5 linked regions of the Xenopus tropicalis genome follow. The protein of the gene in region 2 interacts with the protein of the main gene of each other region in a pairwise test. Links are inferred from orthologs where the notes say so. Each region holds a gene or a part of one and is shown on either strand. Other genes may lie near its edges. The genes, in order: mettl17, sf3b4, hnrnpul1, ppp1r16b and cwf19l2.

The links.
Region 1: the proteins of sf3b4 (region 2) and mettl17 interact in binary tests that used the Homo sapiens proteins (3 or more experiments, as listed by UniProt). The link is inferred for Xenopus tropicalis from reciprocal best matches to the Homo sapiens genes SF3B4 and METTL17.
Region 3: the proteins of sf3b4 (region 2) and hnrnpul1 interact in binary tests that used the Homo sapiens proteins (3 or more experiments, as listed by UniProt). The link is inferred for Xenopus tropicalis from reciprocal best matches to the Homo sapiens genes SF3B4 and HNRNPUL1.
Region 4: the proteins of sf3b4 (region 2) and ppp1r16b interact in binary tests that used the Homo sapiens proteins (3 or more experiments, as listed by UniProt). The two-hybrid records come from large-scale screens. The link is inferred for Xenopus tropicalis from reciprocal best matches to the Homo sapiens genes SF3B4 and PPP1R16B.
Region 5: the proteins of sf3b4 (region 2) and cwf19l2 interact in binary tests that used the Homo sapiens proteins (3 or more experiments, as listed by UniProt). The two-hybrid records come from large-scale screens. The link is inferred for Xenopus tropicalis from reciprocal best matches to the Homo sapiens genes SF3B4 and CWF19L2.

The regions. Positions count from the first base shown.
Region 1 is NC_030677.2:143,417,580-143,421,837, forward strand, and holds the start of mettl17 (methyltransferase-like protein 17, mitochondrial), read right to left. Parts: upstream 2,942-4,258; 5' UTR 2,862-2,941; coding exon 2,826-2,861; intron 1-2,825. Other genes in the region: parp2 (poly [ADP-ribose] polymerase 2), read left to right, coding at 3,143-3,191. UniProt on the Homo sapiens protein: Mitochondrial ribosome (mitoribosome) assembly factor. Binds at the interface of the head and body domains of the mitochondrial small ribosomal subunit (mt-SSU), occluding the mRNA channel and preventing compaction of the head domain towards the body.
Region 2 is NC_030684.2:128,887,351-128,891,787, forward strand, and holds the start of sf3b4 (splicing factor 3B subunit 4), read right to left. Parts: upstream 3,078-4,437; 5' UTR 3,042-3,077; coding exon 3,008-3,041; intron 724-3,007; coding exon 595-723; intron 1-594. UniProt on the Homo sapiens protein: Component of the 17S U2 SnRNP complex of the spliceosome, a large ribonucleoprotein complex that removes introns from transcribed pre-mRNAs.
Region 3 is NC_030684.2:79,233,673-79,237,227, forward strand, and holds part of hnrnpul1 (heterogeneous nuclear ribonucleoprotein U-like protein 1), read left to right. Parts: intron 1-1,537; coding exon 1,538-1,666; intron 1,667-1,767; coding exon 1,768-1,936; intron 1,937-3,542; coding exon 3,543-3,555.
Region 4 is NC_030686.2:40,347,296-40,351,073, reverse strand, and holds part of ppp1r16b (protein phosphatase 1 regulatory inhibitor subunit 16B), read right to left. Parts: coding exon 3,660-3,778; intron 2,363-3,659; coding exon 2,237-2,362; intron 1,581-2,236; coding exon 1,505-1,580; intron 1,329-1,504; coding exon 1,199-1,328; intron 968-1,198; coding exon 817-967; intron 1-816. UniProt on the Homo sapiens protein: Regulator of protein phosphatase 1 (PP1) that acts as a positive regulator of pulmonary endothelial cell (EC) barrier function. Involved in the regulation of the PI3K/AKT signaling pathway, angiogenesis and endothelial cell proliferation.
Region 5 is NC_030678.2:160,240,178-160,243,955, forward strand, and holds part of cwf19l2 (CWF19-like protein 2), read left to right. Parts: coding exon 1-90; intron 91-751; coding exon 752-907; intron 908-2,761; coding exon 2,762-2,842; intron 2,843-3,778.

The sequences.
Region 1 (4,258 bases), on a different chromosome or scaffold from region 2:
TAAAACGTGCGCTATTTATAGTGTGCGTTATAAATTTTATCGCGTCTAAATTTTCGCAACTTTTCGCACGATACACTATAAGCATACTTGCGCTAATTTACGTGCGATGTTGCATGCGTTATTTAACTTGCGAAGACTATTTTTGTGCGGTAGTTGACATTACATGCGCTAAATAACGCCCGCGTATAGTCGCCGCATATAAATAGTAGCATTTAAATAGTAGCATTTAAATAGTGCATATAAATTGTCGCCGCATATAAATAGTGTATATAAATAGTAGCCACATATAAATAGTATCATATAAATGGTATCATATAAAGAGTAGATGCTTATAAATATCTTTGGTGAAAAATTTGCAAATCTTTCAAAAGATCCACGAAACGGCAAAAATGTTGTGCGGCCAAAAAAATTGTTGCCCGCGACTATTATTTTTTGACGCCTGTGTCAATTTTTGGACGTGCGGTGAATTTTTGCGTGGCGAATTTTTTCATGCGTTTTGCCATTGGCAGATTGTTTTGCGAAACGCATGAAAAAATTTGCCGCGGAAAAATTTGCCGCACGTCCAAAAATTTGCTGCAAATCCATGCCTGGCGAAACATTTCATCGCTTGTAGCCGCATATAAATAGTCGCGCGAATAAACGCACGCCATGTTAGCCATACTCGCCAATACTTGAGGAAAATTACTGTATTAAAAATGACCATTTCGCTGCAAACTGGCACTCTAGGGGAAACACAGACTTGAATAAATAACACTGTAAGTCCATATTTTATTGCCAAAAGCTCATGAACTGTACTTTTCTATAATTATCGCCTGCCTGAAGTAGGTGTTAATTTTCGCATAGCCTAATGCGATATTTAGCGCGCCTTACTGTTAGTATTCTTTTCTGTGCGCTAATTAACGCATGTGTTAAATCTACCGCATGCGGTCGTGCGAAAATTAACGCATGTGATATGCGACTTAACGCACTTTAGTGAATCAACCCCATTGTGTCAAAACACAACATTTTGCATTTATTCTGTCCAGAGCACACAGTTTTAACAATGCACACACAAATTTAAAATGTGCACACAAAATAGATTTTTTTCCCCACACATAGCCATTGAGGAATTAGAGGGAACACTGATACTGAACTATTTAAAGGATAATGACATTTTAGAAACAAATTCATGTAAAACTGCTCATAATTGCGCATTAATATAAATTACAATAGTGCTTAGGAAAGTGCTCTGAGCAATCTTACATTAACTTGATGTTAAGGTTGATAAAAGCTAGTTGGAGGGGCAGGTGATTTACCAGTAAGTAAAATATCTGCCAGGTGGGTGGCAACTCCTTACACAGATAATTGCCATGTTATCAAAACAGTCACAACAAAAGGTAAAGTGGAGGTGCTGCTTACTGGTATCTTACTCAAAAACACCAAACATGGAGTAGCTTTAAAGGGGTTGTTAACAATTAAATGATCGTGTAGGTGCATTTTTATTAACATTAGAGACAAACATCACCGGCATTGTTGCCCATAGCAATTGGTTTTTGTTTTTTCAGCTTTTTGTTCAGCAGCTCTCCAGCATGGATTTTAAGAAGCAATCTGGTTACCTTAGCAACCAAGGATGGAATATGAATAGGAAAGGGACTGACTAGAAAGATAAGTAATACAAAAATAACAATATAAATAAAATTGTAAGTTTACAGAGCAAAAGTTTTTGGGCTACTGGGGTCAGTGACCCCCTTTTAAAAGTTGGCAATATGTGGAAGGCAAATAACTTAAAAACTGTAAGAAATAAATAATGAAGGACAACTGCAAAGTTGGTAGGAATATGACATTCTAGAACAAACTAAAAGTTAATGCAAAGTTGAACCATCCTTAACTTCCCTTTGACCTGACTTGCAACAGATTTTTTTACTTGAGCTTTGAATGAGCTTTCTATCCCACCAGAGCTCGATAAACGCTGCAACTATGGGTTAAAAGCTACACTACTAGCGCCCTTGTTGCTATAAACAAATTGCTTGAACTCCCCAGAAAATGACAGCTTTGACGTTCGCAATGAGACGAAATGATTTTATTAGGTGTAAAACAGAGAAATCTAATAAAAGAGCGGCGGGAGAGTAGTCTGACTTGGGTTATGAGGTGCGCACCAATCCCGTGCTGCTACCTCACCTCAGCCATTGGACTAACTGTGCCAGCCGTGAGCCACTTCCAAGGTCCGGGGAGGAGGCAGCATCAGCTCGTCTGTGTCGCACATGGGAGGTGGGAGGTACCTCAATCTGTGGCACGCCTCCTTCCACTACGATCAGATTGCGCTTCTCCTGCATAGCCTCCACCACTTTACGGACTGTTCCACTCCAGCGTGGGGTTTCTGGGGACTCACCCACCCGTTACTCGGGTGACGCCCTGCGAGGGCTGCTTGCGGCTCAAGTCTCAGACCTTCCCGGAGGGAATGATTGGAGTGACGACACGGATGTGACGCACCCAGCATGTGCCCTCAGCAATGAGCTTCCCTTCCGCTCTTCTTACTTACAGCGCCTCAGCCGTATATATACCGCCAGAACAATAAATTCTTACATTAGGGAGATTTTATTCTTTGTGATATTAGTATTCCTGTTGACAACTTTAGTGTGAAAAATTAATTTCAGCAGTCTGTAAGGCTTTATTATATTTTAAAAATAATGAACGTTGAATTTAAAGCCAGAAAACTCCCAGAAATACCCACACGTTGTGAGGTTCATTTAAATAAGAGGCGGGCCTTTCAAACGTGTCCTCAAAGTTAAAGCTTACAATGTCATTGCTAGTTAATCTGCATTGGGCCCAAACGCGCAGTTACTTACCCGGAGCTGGCGGAAGCATATCTTTGAAGAGAGCATGTTTCAGAAGCAGGCAAGAAGTGTCAATCACCGGCTGTGTTGCCTTTTACTGGCAGTAGTACTTAGCACCCAACATGCTCCAATTCTCTCTCAGACGTCCAATGGGATTGCAAATCATGAACCAATCCCTGCGCGAAAAATATGCGTCATTTTCCCTCCACTGACATAGCAACCAATAGGGGCGTGGGGCCGGCGAGGAAACTACTGAGTAGAAGAGGCCGTAACGAGAGGAATACTGCAGCGAAGTGGGTTTGGGCAATAACGCACCCCGCTTAGTGGAGATGTCAGGGCGCAGCGGAAAGGTCCAAGGGCGGGCGAGAAAGGCCCGGGGTGAGTAGTCTGTCCGTGTAAACAAGTCATGTGTGCGTCACTGAGTATGACACCTGTCAGTGCCTCTATATATTCAGCCTTTGCCTCCTCTACCCCCAACTGGCTTTGCACTACAACTCCCAGCAGCCACTCACAGCTTTATTGGGTTTGTACAAAGCAGGCTGTCTCTGTAATATAACCAACACATAAAGTATGTTGCTTGTGCCATTTAAAGGGGATCTGTCTCCTAGGGAATAATTCCAAATTCTTTTTATTGTGGTTTTTCAAGAAAAGTAATCTTTACTTACTCTATATACATTTTTTTAAATCTTGTGTTCTTCAATCTTTTGGAATCCAAAATTAGAGCCATTTTGTGGGCACTATTATTAAGGCAATATTTGCATTATCCCAAAATCTTGTGTTTATGCACCAGAATGGGGGACCCAACATCCATGCCCACTTGCCCAGGCAATAGAATTATAGACAGTGAGTAAAGCTGGCCATACACGTGGCAATCTGACGATGTTTCATGCGACCATCGGTCGCACGAAACATCGTCAGATCCGCCACACACCATTCAGGGCTGAATCGGCAGGTAAGGAGGTAGAAACAATAGGATTTCTACCTCCTTCTGCCGATTCAGCGCTGAAGGGAGATTTTGGTCAGGAGCCTTCTATGGCGCCCGATCAAAATTTTCAAACTGGTCCGATCGACGAGTCGGCTGATATCAGCAGCTTCCTGCGATATCGGTCGACTTGCCGACATACCATACACGCACCGAATATCGTACGAAATGAGGTTTCGTATGATATTATCGGTGCGTGTATGGCCACCTTAAGAGGGGGAATGTAAGGAGAACAGGGACAGAAAGTGTAGCATGAAAAATGAAAGTGATTACTATGCCCAAGTCAAAGAGGCAGGGCAGGCAGTATATGATTGACAGGTGAGATTTTTTAAATATTCTTATGACAGGATAGGGATATTTTAATTAAAAAAATGGGTTTCATGCTTAATTTGAAATGGTCTTTTTATTATACAGATTTTTATATCTTAGTGACATGTCCCCTTTAAATTGAATTGTAAAACCA
Region 2 (4,437 bases):
CTTAAGGTTGAACACACATGGAACTACTAATAGCAGCTACTTGTTGTGGCTACTAAAAAAAAAAAAAAGACAGTGCTGGTCATTTACTGATAATTGTCTCTACGTGTGTTTTAGCAGGGGCAATTCTCAGTTGTCTATGGCATGGGATTTTCTGGGGTTTAGTAGCCTTGAAAAAGTAGCTGCTACTTAGTAGCTCTGTGTGTCTTCACCCTGATGCTTTTGGATCCAGCACACATTTTCACCAGGACACCTGTGGTGTTTCCCCATTCAGGCAAATGGGAAGAGACAGTGACCAAGTAGATATGTTGCTTTAACCATGATCAAACGATGTGGAAACTATTGCTTCCCGCACACAGAAACCCCCAAAATACCCTGTAATCTGTTCCTTCAAAAAGCATGAATAAATACCATTTTTATATGCTGAAATCCAGCTGCAAAACAGTTCTTCTCTTTCTGCATCATTTGAAATCCTGGCAGGGGAGGAGGGACTAAAACATTCTTGTTACAAATTGCAACAACTTCTCCACAGCATTCCCCTCCATTCCTGCCTATACACAGCTATAAGAAATAATGGTTAAGAGGTGCCAATCTTACCTTGATGCTGCCCCGTGACCCTGTCTTTGGGCATGTGTGTATTCACTACAGGCCCTGCTTGCAAGAAGAGCTCCCATAGAAGAGGCTCAGACACCTTTTCATCCAGGCCTCCGACATACACTGTGGCATCTAAATCCAAAAAGAAAAAAAAAAAAAGTTATAGTACACGGCAAATCAGCTATTCCACCTTCTCTTTAAATATCCCCGTTACACTCTGAATAAATGCACAGATCATAGATCCGAGGCACTGTTGCCCTGAACTGGTAAAACTGGTGTGTTTGCTACAGTAACACTACTATAATTTATATGATAAGCTGCTGTGTAGCCACAGGGGCAGCCATTCAAGCTGGAAAAGAGGAGAAAAGGCACAGGTTACATAGCAGATAACAGATAAGTTCTGTAGAATACAATAGTGTTTTATCTGTTATCTGCTATGTGCCTGTGCCTTTTCTCCTTTGAATGGCTGCCCCCATGGCTACATAGCAGCTTATTTATATAAATTATAGTAGACTTTCTGAAGCAAACACACAGCTTTTACCAGTGCAGGGCAGCAGCACATTATATTTTAGTTACTTTTAGGGCTCTGGCACACGAGGAGATTTGTCGTCTGCGTTTTTTCCCCCTGGCGCTTTGGCGACAAGTCGCCACGAGAATACCCTCAAAGAGATTTCATGCGAGTTGAGCTCCAGGCGATCTGCTACCCATGGTACACTCAACAGTTAACCCCCCTCAAGTCGCTCAGAAAAGGGTCTGTGTGCGACTTGAAACAGCAGGCGATCTGAAGTAGCCTCGTATGTTTTGACGCTGGCAATTTCCATTGATTTAGCATTGGTGTCTTGTCGCCAAATCGCTCTTTTAAAAATCGCCGGCGACAAATCTCCTCGTGTTCCAGAGCCCTTATACACTTTCATTTTTTGGTGTTACTGTTCCTTTAATCCTTGTAATACAAACTCTCCTTGCTACAGGGTTTAGCTTTCCCTTTACAACCCTGGAGATATCCACCTATAAACCCGAAAGATAACGAGAGAAAGTTTTCATCAACTTTCCAACATATATATATACCGTATATACTCGAGTATAAGCCGAGTTTTTCAGCACTAAAAATGTGCTGAAAAAGGAACCCTCGGCTTATACTCGCGCATATACTCGCGTATATATACGGTAAATGGTTTCGCAGCTGCTCGTTGCATGCGAACCTGCCTGCACACCTGTGACGTAGCGGAAGATAGCGCTCGGACTACCGCCAGATAGCGAAGGACCCGTTCGCGGACTTTATTGAGGTTGTCCCGCAACTCTAAGGACCGGCCAAACAGCGCCAAACTCCCGGACCGTGGTGTCTTGTTGCTGTCGGGTGTGCTGCTTATTGCAATAATTGTGCCGAGAGCGCTCTGTTTCTTTAACCCTTGTCACACGGCAGCTGGCGAGGCGATTACATGACGGCTCCTTGCAGACACACAGGTTGGAATTAAGAGGAGCGCCGCCGCTTATTTAAAGAGCAGCGTAAATGCTGGGCTTACGGATCCTCTGGCGCTGCTGACAGGGCACACCGCAAGGTACCGCTGCTTCACTTGCACACCGGGAGTTGCTTTGGGTCTCATTGAAATATAGCAGGGTGCTGGGTGGCCATTCTGTGGGTGTCTCATCCTTGTCTTGTCGGGCACTGATGTCCCAAATCGCCACCATGAGATAGAACAGCTTTGAGGTAACCTATTGTTTCTCCTACTCCCATGTAACTGGTCGGCTTATACTCAAGTCAATAAGTTTTTCCAGTTTTCTTAGGTAAAATTAGGTACCTCGGCTTATATTCGGATCGGCTTATACTCGAGTATATACGGTAATAAAAAAAATCAGTGGTTCAAAGGTAAATGCTATTGCTATTGGAAGTAGTATCTATCTGCCCCTTTCTTATTCTTGAAACCATTTCATAGTTTAATAGCCCTGGCCTTTGTTACATTGTTTCAGAAGTCAGAACCAGCAGTGTAGACTATAATAAGACAGACGGCTTTCGCTAACAATTATATTTTGCAAGAAACTTTATAAACGTTGGAAATGTGTAATGAATGTATATAGGGAGGCTGCTTAGCATTAGTTCTGTGCATTATACACAGTGTTTATGGGGATAGCACTATAAACTGTATTGGTGGGGAAGAAGCAGATCAATGTTTCTGTGTAGATTCAGGTACAGTTACAGGCCGGGCTGCCGATATTATAAGAACAGCTTTGTGTCCAAATGACTTTTGCACAGAGATGGAGCCTGCACCTCATGCACACAGTGCAGCCCGCCTCCCCCTGCTCTGAGCTCTTACTGTTCCCTGTAAACCCCGGATACCCCTACTTCCAGCCCCCCCGGCATAACAGTTCCCTCCGCCCCAATCACCCCATGCAGCCCATACGCAGTCTGTACGTTCCTTACCCTGGTTCCGTTCAGATATCGGCCCAGCCGCCATTTTCTCGCCGCCAACCACTCAGCCACCTCGCTGCTTCAGTTTCCGCTTCCCTACTTCCGGCCTCAGAACGCTTACTTCCGCAACCACTTTTTTTTTTTTTTTTTAGATGGAATAACTTTATTAACATGCCTTATGCAGTCAATGCTTTCCGGCGGAGATATTTGTATTGTAATGAAACCCCAAAGCTAAAAGTAAACGTGTAGTAAACTCTGAGGGGGTTATTTATTTATTTTTATATTTTTTTAAGATTTTACAGTAAATGTGCCAGTATTGTCAGCGCATAGAGGGTGTTTCATTGTTTCTATGGGCACCAAGGATTATTAAAGGGTCCCTGGTGTGAGCTAAGGGTGCAGACACACGGAGCTACTAGTAGCAACTACTTGTAGTCGCTACTTAAATAGACAATGCTGATCATTTACTGATAACAGTCTCAATGTGTTTTAGGGCTCTGGCACACGGGGAGATTAGTCGCCCGCGACAAAACTCCCTGTTCGCGGGCGACTAATCTCCCCGAGTTGTCATGACCCGCCATCCCACTGGCAAACATGTAAGTCGCCGGCGGGATGGCACACGCGGCGGCGCGATTTCCCAAATCTTTTTCGGCGATTTCGGGAAATCGCGCCGCCGCGTGTGCCATCCCACCGGCGACTTACATTGTCGCCGATGGGATGGCAGGGGAAGGCAACTCAGGGAGATTAGTCGCCCGCGAACAGGGAGTTTTGTCGCGGGCGACTAATCTCCCCGTGTGCCAGAGCCCTTAGCAGAGGGAATTCTCAGTATTGTCTATGGCAGGGGATTTTTTGGCGTTTAGTAGCTGTGAAAAAGTAGCTGCTACTAGTAGCTCTGTGTGTCTTCACCCTAAAGGAACATACAAGGGTCACATGTAAAGACCAATGCTCCTCCCCTTTTACATAGAGATGTCTGTTGGTTGAGAATTTAGTGAGACAAGAAAGTCTTATTGGCCAAATAGTAGATTTGACTATTGTGTCTGATGTATATTTTTAAACCTTTAATGTTAAAGGTAACTGAAAGCCTGGTGAATGCCTTGGTACCAAAAACTCCTTGTTTGTTGCCCCTGGATATAAAAAGCAGACTGGTGGAGCAGTAGTGAGGGGAGCCAGAGCAGCCCAAGATGGCAGCTGCCAAACCTGCACTTTTCTTCTTCTAACCAGATACAACAACTAAGCAGGTTTGGGGGTCCCTGTTGGTGGGGTTTAGGAAGGGACAAAGGTACTAACCAGGCTTTTATTCTCTTTTATCCTGATTGTACACAGGACAATGTAAGATGACAGTTTGGTTGGCCTCCCCAGTATAAGCTGGCAGCTTTGACAACATTGTCCCATAGTCCTAGGTTGTGATACAGTTGTTGGATCATAACCATCTGATCAGTTTGATT
Region 3 (3,555 bases), about 50 Mb from region 2:
GAATTATAGAGCAGAGAGAAGCTCTGCAGTCTTAGTTATAAATGTGTGGTTAACTTTATATTTATAAATATAAAAAAGGGGTTAAAGGAGACATTTTATATAAAGTTCATATTCAGTTATAATATTCATCCTCCCTCAAAATGTGAAATGATGCGGAAAGAAAGATGTTTTGAAAGCATTTTACCTCCTAAAACTGCCATTATATGAGAGCTGCATACACAAGCTCACTGATCAGAAGTCAGAGCCAAATGAGACATAGGAGTGTCGCTACAGTCTCCCACAGGAACTGGTCACAGCACTGACTGACTCAGCAGCAGCAGGGAAAACCCCTCCCTCCTTCTGTGTCTCTCTGCTTGTGCTGCTGCCAGGGGAGGGGAGAGAAACAAGCAGAGCAGGAACAGACTGTCTGTGAGCTCGCTAAGCCCCACCCACTTCCTTCTGTTTTACAGTTTTTTACATGGTTTAGTGCATTGTAAAAATTTATGCTATATATCCCCTTTAATATTTGTAATAAAGTGATAATCATTTGTGAGAGAACAAGACTTATGTATATGTGTCTCATCCTATATATCTGAAAAGATGTAACCAAGGTTTTATGGATAGTTACAGTTTTATCATGAAAACATCTTTCTTATGATATTAACCAGTTAACTAAGGGCTCTGGCACACGGGGAGATTAGTCGCCCGCGACAAATCTCCCTGTTCGCGGGCGACTAATCTCCCCGAGTTGCCATCAGAGAGCCGTCAGTTGCCATCCCACCGACGAACATGTAAGTCGCCGGTGGGATGGCACATTTCGGCAAATCGCCGAAAATGCCTCGCGTGGCAACTTCGGTGATTTGCCGAAATCACCTGCGCAGCGTGTACCATCCCATCGGCGACTTACATGTTCGCCGGTGGGATGGTAGTTCAGGGAGATTAGTCGCCCGTGACAAGGGAGATTTGTCGCGGGCGACTAATCTCCCCGTGTGCCAGAGCCCTAAGGGTTTTTCCTAAGAAGTCCAAATCTTTAAAGGTCTTTTAAGTTATGTCTCCCTTCCTGTCCAGTCAGTTTCACATCAGTCAATACCAGCATTTTACATTAGTCCATGGCTGCTTCTGTTTATCAGTTGGTAACAGATAAACTGTGCTTAATCCCATTTTTCTGTTATCTGCTGTGTAACCTGTACCTTTTCTTCTGTTTTACCTTTGAATGGCTGCCCCTGTGGCTACACAGCAGCTTGTTTATATAAACTATAGTAAAGTTTCTGAAGCAACCAAACCAGTTGTTCATGTCCAGGGCAACAGTACATTATATTTCAGTTACTTTAAAACACTTTCATTTATTGGTGTTACTTTTCCTTTAAGCCTTGATATGTTATTTACAACTATGCATTTGCTACATGTTTATGGTCACAGTCAAAAAAACATCTTGGCTAATAAAACAAATTAATTGTTATTGGGTGCCTTCTGCCTCTATAATAACATATATATGGATAGACAAGGAGTAAAATAAAAGAATTCTCCATATAATTTTCATATCTTGACCTCCAATCAGGTAATGGGTCTGCGAAGGCAACGTAATTATGCAGGGCGCTGGGATGTCCTTATACAACAAGCAACACAGTGTCTGAACCGTCTTATCCAGATTGCAGCCCGGAGGAAACGAAATTACATTCTGGATCAGGTAAAATAGATTAATAACATAATCCTAGATTCAGTTGTAGCTGCAGTGTTCAGTACATGACCTATACAAGTAGGACCTTTGGTGTTTTTTTCTACACACAGACAAATGTTTATGGGACAGCTCAAAAAAGGAAGATGCGTCCATTTGAAGGCTTTCAGCGCAAAGCCATCATAATCTGTCCCACAGATGCAGACTTGCAGGACCGTATAGTAAAACGTACAGATGAGGAGGGAAAGGATGTTCCAGACTCTGCTGTATTGGAAATGAAAGGTAATTCCCATTTTCATTATATCAGCCTCCTCATAATGTGTTTTTCAACATCCTTAACATTTTAATATGGTTGCAAAAAAACTATAAATGTTTTTTACTGTCAGTTTAAATATGTTATGATGGATGTGCAAATGGGTGTGAATGACTACTGCTGTTAAAGTGAAACTCATCCTTTATAAAAATAAAGTTAAGTAAAAGTTATATTGCCTAGTAGTTACATTATGGGGCAGATTTATTAAGACACGAATTTGAATCCCGAATGGGAAAAATTCGTATTGGACACGATAATTTCTGAAGATCGCAAAAATCGCGAATATGCTTATGAAAAAATTGTATTAGTCATGATAATATCGTATTGGCGATCCGAAAGTCACAACATTTTCGTATACGAACGATCGTAAAATGCAGGAAAACCTTTCCGACTTTGATCCTTCTGTGCATGATTTTGGAAGCCTCCCATAGGACTCAATGGCACTCTGCTGCTCCAACCTGGCCCAAGGAAAGTCTCCCATAGGGCTCAATGGCACTCTGCAGCTCCAACCTGGCCCAAGGAAAGTCTCCCATAGGACTCAATGGCACTCTGCTGCTCCAACCTGGCCCAAGGAAAGTCACAATACTGAAGCTTGAATGAATCTGAAACTTTCGTACTCGTTGCAACAATACAATTTTGTCGCATTTTTTTTTTTTTTTTTTTTTTTTTACGCACAGTACGAAAAAGTCGCGTTAAAATGAAAAACCGCCGAAAATACGCAAGCAACGAAAAAGTCGCAGAAAACACAAACGGCCCGATCGAACAAACGATCGAACTGTTCGTGGATTGATAAATCTCCCCCTATGTGTTACAAAGTGCCGGAACTTTCACTGAAAATTAAACTACATCTTGGAGTTTTGAATGTCTGAAATCGTGCTCCTGGGAACAATAGTAATGAATAAAATTTGTTTTGACCTGAACATTACTGTTGTGAACTGGAGCAAACAGGGATGTTTTAATTACATTTGGTATAACGTGAACATAAATGTGAATAAATTGATGTGATTATTTTAGTCCTACTGAGTGTATATGTGTGTGTGCTTTTGGATAGATAAGATTGTGTGCGTGTTATGATAGAAAAAAAGAGTAAATGTAATTTACTCTTTGGTTATAATTTCCTTTTCATTTATCAGAAATTGCTAGAAAGATAGTGAAGTACATAGAAGCAAGTTAAATGTTTTAACGGGTATTTAAGTTCATTTCAGTTTAAATTCCAGTTTTTATTTGTTTTTAAATAAGTTTTAGTGTGATGCAGACATTGATATTCTGCATCACAATTTGCGGTTGGTCTTCAGTTTTTCCCCCAATAACCGTGGCAGGTGATATTGTATTGATTCGATTGTTTGGGCCTCAAGAACAACAAATGCACCAAAGCACTCCTTGTCCCCAATGATTTATCAGGGTCTGAAAAGAAAGATAAAGCTAGAGAATGGCAAAATATTCAATAGCTATAAAAAATGAAGACCAGTTAAAAAGTTGGTAAATATAGGACATTTTACAATATACTTAAAGTTAACTAAATGGTGAACTACCCCCTTCAAGTGCTTATCTTCTGTTTCTTCTTTTTGTACACAGCAAATTTTGCTTT
Region 4 (3,778 bases), on a different chromosome or scaffold from region 2:
GTAGTTAGTAGCTTTCTGTTCTGTCCCTTTTCTATTTACCGTCACATTACCCCATATGTGTTTAGCTAAACCCATTTGGTCAACAGAAGAGTCTGCTCTTTACAGCAGTAATAGGCAGCAGTTAGTCTGCTCTTTACAGCAGTAATAGGAGGCAGTAAGTCTGCTCTTTACAGCAGTAATAGGAGGCAGTAAGTCTGCTCTTTACAGCAGTAATAGGCGGCAGTTAGTCTGCTCTTTACAGCAGTAATAGGAGGCAGTTAGTCTGCTCTTTACAGCAGTAATAGGCAGCAGTTAGTCTGCTCTTTACAGCAGTAATAGGCGGCAGTTAGTCTGCTCTTTACAGCAGTAATAGGAGGCAGTTAGTCTGCTCTTTACAGCAGTAATAGGCAGCAGTAAGTCTGCTCTTTACAGCAGTAATAGGCAGCAGTTAGTCTGCTCTTTACAGCAGTAGTAGGCGGCAGTTAGTCTGCTCTTTACAGCAGTAATGAGCGGCAGTTAGTCTGCTCTTTATAGCAGTAATAGGTGGCAGTTAGCCATGTGATCTCTGGGTTAGTGCCAGGTGCACTTTAGCATGGACTACCTTCCTTGAGCCCCCATAAATCTGTGCCGGGGCAGTGCTGCCTACAAGCAGCTTCTATAGCAATACTGATTACAATCAATAGCCAGAACCATGCTACCCAGCTCCAAACCCTATAGTCCTATAGTCTCTTTCAAACACTGATTCACATTGTTTCTGGCTCCTACCAGAACCCTGTCTGTCTTCTGGTTATTCAGATGACTGTTCTTAACTATCAATGCAGTTACTGGTCAGGTTACCTGCTGTACTTCTGGGCTGCTCTCTTCCTCATCCTGGGTGCCCTCTGTGTTCCCTGAAGACACCAAACATTGCCACACCACTGCCTCCTTCTCATATTCCCTTCTGTACAGGTTGGTCCGCTCTGACAGGCTGGCGCGCCGCACCACCTTACTGGGAGGAGACACAGAAAGGATGAGAGACGGTGCTGATAGGAAGAAAGGCAAACACTGAAGGGACAAGGGCATCAGATTAGAACAAGTTACCTACAATCATATGGTTTTGCCCATTTCCTCTCACTTTCATATAACATTTAATCTCATTTTTCTTATGCTCCTATGCTTCTTTTAGTTCCTACACTTGCTAATTTCACAGGACACTATCCATGTAACTGAGTATACTGACCCATGGCTCCCGGTGCTGGAACTTCTGCGGCTCAGAGAAGACTTGTTCTTCTGCTGAGACTTCATGATGATATCGTGTTTGTGCTTCAGTTCCAGAAGCAAGGAGCGAAGTTCTTCATCTTCACACAGATCTGCCATAGAGACACAAAGGCAAAGCTAAGCCCAAATGGAGAGGTGGGAAGAGGGTGAGAATAAAAAAAACAGAAAAACACTTGGATGCAAAAGGCTCTAATGCACCAGATGATAATAAAGAGGTGTCCTCTACCCTCCAAGAGATAAACAGGGCAGAGAGAGTGTCCTGACTCACCGAGAGGAGTCTCATCCAGGGCTGTTTTAGCGCTGAGACTGGCACCATGTGAGACTAAAACCTCTGCTACGTAGATCTGCAGAAGGAATTAAGGAGATTGGTAACTAGGTATGCATTTCCCACACAATGGTACTGGCAGTGGACTAGGTGGAGGAATGGGTGTTAGGACTCGGGATGCACCAAATCAGTTCAGGATTTGGCCAAGCTTCGGCCTCTTTCCGCAGGATTCGGATTCTGCCAAATCCACATGCTTGGCCGAACCAAATCCTAAAATTCATGTGACTTTATGTCATATAAACACGGAATTCGAATATTTTTAACCCTTCCTTAGCTTAATTTTCACATGCATATTAGGATCCAGATTCGTTTCGGTATTTGGCCAAATCTTTTATAAACGATTCAGGGTTCGGCTGAATCCCAAAACAGTGGATTCAGTGCATCCCTAGTTAGGACTACAGGTGTACAATCTATTCCCCATAATGTTTGGGAAATTAGTTTTCCAAATAAGGGATCTTTCCATAATTTGGAACTCCATACCGTAAATCTGCTAAAAATAATTTACCCATTAAATAAACCCAATAGGGTTGTTTGGAACCCAATATAAATTCATGCAACTTCATCAAGGACAAGCTACAGTTTTATTAAAGAGAAAAAGGACATCATTTTTAAAAATGAGTATTATTTGCTTAAAAATAACAACATGGCGACAAACAAGGATTGAACAGATCTTACCTGACCCCAAAAGGCTGCAGCATGTAGCGGTTCCCACACATCAGGATCCTTCACTTCAACATGGGCCCCATTCTCCAGAAGCATCTCAGCCACCTCTGCGAAGCCCCGAGACGCTGCTATGTGGAGCTGGGGTGGGAACAAAAGGTTTGTCATCTTTTTTATTTATGTCAGGGCAGAAAGGAACAGCCAAAAGCAGATAAATCGATCAGTATTTAGGATAAATAGGGCAACAGATTAAGGCAGATGCACATGCTATGCACAAGAACAACCACAAGGTGGCAATAATCACCTGTATTCAAAATGCCCCTAACTAGTCCTATTTCACAAGAACAGTTACTCTACATCGCTGATGCCGTGCTACATTCTCCACATGTACTGGCAGCCAACAGGCTTCTACAATGGGTCCCAGTGCTTGGCGTAATCAGCTTGCCCTATTACCATGGGGAATTATATTGGGTTTTGGCTTATATTTGCTGTGTCATGGCTGGCAAAACTAGAGGAAAGAATGGCACCCAGAGCCTGGTGGGAGTTTGCGGTATATTTGGAAGTGGGAAGCACAAATGCTTAAAGGAGACATATTGGATAAATGAAAAAAAAACGAATTTTGCAGGCAATGGTGCTGGTTTCACTTTGGGATACAATTGAATACTTTCTGCAAAAATGGCCACTTTATTGGAGCTCCCTATAGATCCTCTCAGGTCCCTGTCTGTGTTTCAGATAAAGGGTGGGCGTGTCCTAACGGTCCCTGCCAGAAGCACAGCATAAGGGGGATAAGCCAATCACAGCCCTGCAGTCATACAAACAAAGACAGGCTTCAGTTCCCCATCAGGTCAGCCTAGCTGCTGATTGGTTCCTATCCTACAGTGCAGGGTACGGAGGGCCGCCGGCTCCCCAGCTCATCCAGAGAATTCAGCCAGCAGGAAGTGGAACAGATGGGCGGGACTAGTGGGGTTTTGGTGGAATTTCTCCATAAATCAGTCCAAAACACAACTTTTTTAAGCACAATCCTTCTATATAAAGAGGAGTATAATTCCCTGGTACATTCTTAATTTTTATATGATATGTCTCCTTTAAAAACACATATATAAGGGGGAGAAATTAGGTAACAATCGTATCCCCAGGGTCGGACTGGGCCGCCGGGACACCGGGAAATATCCCAGCGGCTCAGACCCAACCCTTGTGGGCGCTCCCCTGCCCGACCGTTCCTCCCCTGATGCTTTAAACTTATGCACTTGGGGGAGGACGTCAGGTGGGGGTCCTGGGAGGGGGGTTAGAGGGGCCCCTGCAGGGGGGGGGGGCCGGCAGGGGGCCCTTCACCCCCCCCTCCGACCCTGGGTATCCCCAAAGCATTGTACCCACTGTCATAGTCGTAGACCACGATGGTGTAAGCCACTAACTTTCAATACCCAGTTACACATCTCACCAGTGTGGCTCCTTGGTTATCAGTCCTGTTCAGGTCGTGTCCAATTGCCACCAGCGCCCTTATGTCATTTAGCATGTGACGCTCCGGTGCCTGACGAGCTTCATTGATCATTTCCTGGG
Region 5 (3,778 bases), on a different chromosome or scaffold from region 2:
TCACTCACAGAGGGACATTGCCTGATCGTTCCATTGCAGCACCACACAGCGAGCACTCTGCTGGATGAAGACATCTATAATGAAATCCAGGTGCTTTTAATAGCGATTCTATATATATATTACTTGTCATGTTAGCGACCTGATTCCATGGATAACACAGCTCATTGCCAGCAGTAACCATACAGTGGCAGTGGAGTGCTTTGAAATATGGGGGATAAAGGAGAAGGCTGCATTATAGTTTAATGGTGTAGATCAATAAATTGAGCAGACTAGAGATGCCTGTAGCTTAAGGTAAGGCTGGGGATGGGTAAGACAGGTGCTATTTAAGCAGTATGCCGCTTTCTAGGTCATACAGATGTATCTGCTGCTTCTTCACCATTTCATATTTATTCAGAAAATACAGAGGTTGTACGATTCTTACATCTGAGGGGCACTGCTATTTGACAATAGTGCTCAAGTTCAAAAGTATGGCAGTTAAAACACCAGCTTGTAACTTACCCCCTTACCAGTTGCATAAACATTCCATAAGCAGAAACAGCACAGTTCCATCACATTAAATATGCTGACGTTTTACATGGTAGATCCCATTTCTAATAAGCAACAAGAACCAATATATTAACCTAATTTCCGGAAGATAAATGAAAACGTGCAGTTGACTTTTATATAAATAAAGGCATATCTGGTTGTTTATGTTCTAAAAGTAAACCTTGTTATTGCTAAAAGAGCAAGTGGCTGCTTCGTCTCTCTCTAGGTGTTCCGGAAAGCCTTGGTCAGGATGTTTGAATCTAAAGGTCTGGACTGTGTCTTCTTGGAGTCAAACATATATGCAAGAAAACGGTTGCATTTGGTCTATGAGTGCATTCCTCTCCCAAAGGAAGTGGGTGATATGGCACCAATATATTTTAAGGTAAATTATCAACTTGCATTCAATTATTAGGAGCAATAGACGGATATAAAGAACCTCAGGTTTATAAAGAAATGAGCCACAGTGCCATGGGAACTAGTGAAGAAAGGTAATAGGGAATTTTTCCCAAAGTAGCCAGATTAAGGGGGTAGTTATGTAAAACAGCATAATAAGATCTAGATATAAGGGTTTGTCATTGTCCCGTCTAATATTGCTTTCTGGGAATGTGGGCATGATAATTGCAAGCTCATTCATTTCATCTGCAGCCAGATGGTGACAGAAGTTGCCAAACTTTAAAGCTGTGTGGTATTCACTCTCTACAACAGTGACAAGCTCTTGCAGATAAAGAGCAAATAGCAACCTGTAGCTATTCTGAATTTCTGAACAACTACTAGCTATTAAAGGAGAAGGAAAATCAGTTTGGCATTTTACTGCCAATAGATTTGCCACATTAGTGCTACTATATTTATTCTGCAGAAACCTTTACCATACCTGAGTAAACAGCCCTAGAAGCTTTCTCTGTTTGTTTAGGAGAGCAGCTGCCATTTTAGCTCAGTTTCCGTAACTGTAGCTGCTGCAGCTCTAGGGGTTGGTAGCTCAGATCACATATTCCTAAGGGAGGGGGAAGCAGGAGAGGGAAGAGAGCAGACTCTGGCCCCAGGAACGAAGGATTTTTCTGAGAGAGGAAATCAGATACCCTAAGAACATGTTTACAAAAAAGTAGACAAGAAATCCTGTGTTTCTTTTGATAGAGGACTCAGTGCAGCATTTCTGTGAGTGCTTATGGCTGTATTTACATAGACCTTTCCAATAAAGCTTACCGTACTTAGTTTTTCCCTTTCTTTCTCCTTTAAATGATACAAACGAGTCATGAGTGAATAGAATAGTTTGTATATAAAGTATGACTCCAGGGGTAGATTTTACATAAGACAGGTGGCACTTCAGTTTATGGTCAGTTGCTGGATGACCCCCCATCCTCAAAAAATGGTGGTGACTTGAGTTGAAATCCTATGCCCAAGCCACATGTGCCTCTTGGAAGCAAAGGAAAGATGGCACTATGCTCTACAGGCCAGTAAGTGATTATGGAAGAGTCAGATAAAGTCTAATTAATGTCACTTACTTACAACAGAAAACTTCTGTAAAATTCACAGGCTACTGGATTATCAGAATCGACCTTTCCAACCTTTACTACTGTACCTTGTCCAACTGTATCTTGGAATAACTAAACTCTGAAAATGAGCCAACGTGTTTCATTCTGGGATCAATAAATTGCCATGACCAATGAGAAATGGCAACAAACTGCACTGTTTGGTCTCCTTACTTGTATTTTTCTCTAAAAAATCAAATGTTCATTAGGAAAAAAATGAACCAAATGAGACTACAAACCCAATCAATGGAATAAGAGTTTGGAGTAACAGTTTAATGGCCACTTTACCTTGACCAGTTTAATACATTGTGTTGTTTCATTCATTTGACTGTTAAGCTCACAGAAACATGTTCCCTTCACACCAGCTACAAACCCATTATAAGAGATTTATGGGCAGATATTGGAGTCACAAATCAGCGGCAGTGTATCCGTCAGCCAACCTACGATGAATTGCAAATTTACTTTAAATGGAGTGTCGTCAATATATCAGATGTTTTTAATGGTTTATACTTTCCAGTTTCGTTGAACATTTGGCTGATAGAGCCGGGTATCACATACATAACGCCCGAAGGTTTCCATGTTACCATCCAGCCGTACATTTAGCCCATTTAGTGAATTCTGGTTCCTTTCAGAAAGGGCTTATTTGCTGATTTTTTATTCCATCTCCCATGTTAACCAATGTATTCATGCGTTTATTTTCATTAAACCAGAAAGCCATAATGGAATCTGATGAGGAGTGGTCCATGAATAAGAAATTAATAGACCTGTCTACAAAGGATATTCGAAGAGCTGTAAGTTTAAAAAAGTCTAAACATTTTACTATCCAAGAGCTGCCATCCCTCTATATTTCCCATCTTTGTCCTCATTATCACATTGAGACATTTCTATGTGATTCTCTTGAAATGAGCACACTCATACTTCTGTTATATGGTGTAATATGGAGGCTGGAGTCTGTTAGAATGTTACATATTCATGTTTTCAAGACAAGGGAGATCAAGATTTATATGGCTTTTTATGGCAGATTTCCAAAAGTATTTAAAAATATGAAACAATAACCATAGTATTGGCTATAAATCAATTGAAGGGTTATGAAACTGAGCAAAAATCAGAGCTTCAATGCAAATCCACAGGCTAAATTGGAAATACATGTATTCCCTTTGTGTTTCCATTGGGGGAGAACCCAAGCATACATAGGCATTTTACTGTTCTGACTAATGATGATGATTTATCTGCTTATATGTTCCAATACGTCTGCTTCTCAGAGCCCAATGTTACACAACAGAGTTTCCTATCATTGCCTGGCTGTAATTATATCTGGCATAATCCACTTTAGAATGTAGCTTAATCTGCATGTATCTAGTGTTTAATCCCCCGCTGATTTCTGTGTGATCGGAACATAGAAATTGGATTTATTTTTTCACTTGAGCTCAGACTTTAAGAGGTCACCAGAGATAATTCTGGATATCCTTGGAATTGGGGTCATAGCCATAAACTGGCTGGGGATGTTTCTCTTTTTATTGCCCTTATCTATTGAATTCTCGTACAGGTGTATGTTTTATCTGTTCTGTCTATCTGTTATTAATTGTTCTGCTTTAATACCCTAAGCTTCAGTGAAGCTATTACTGGCTTGGTTTGGTTTCAATTTTGCCTAAGAAGCTATTCTTCTCACTGGTCGTTATTATGGACTGTTATTGTATAATGAGAACAATACAAGAAGCCAGACGGGG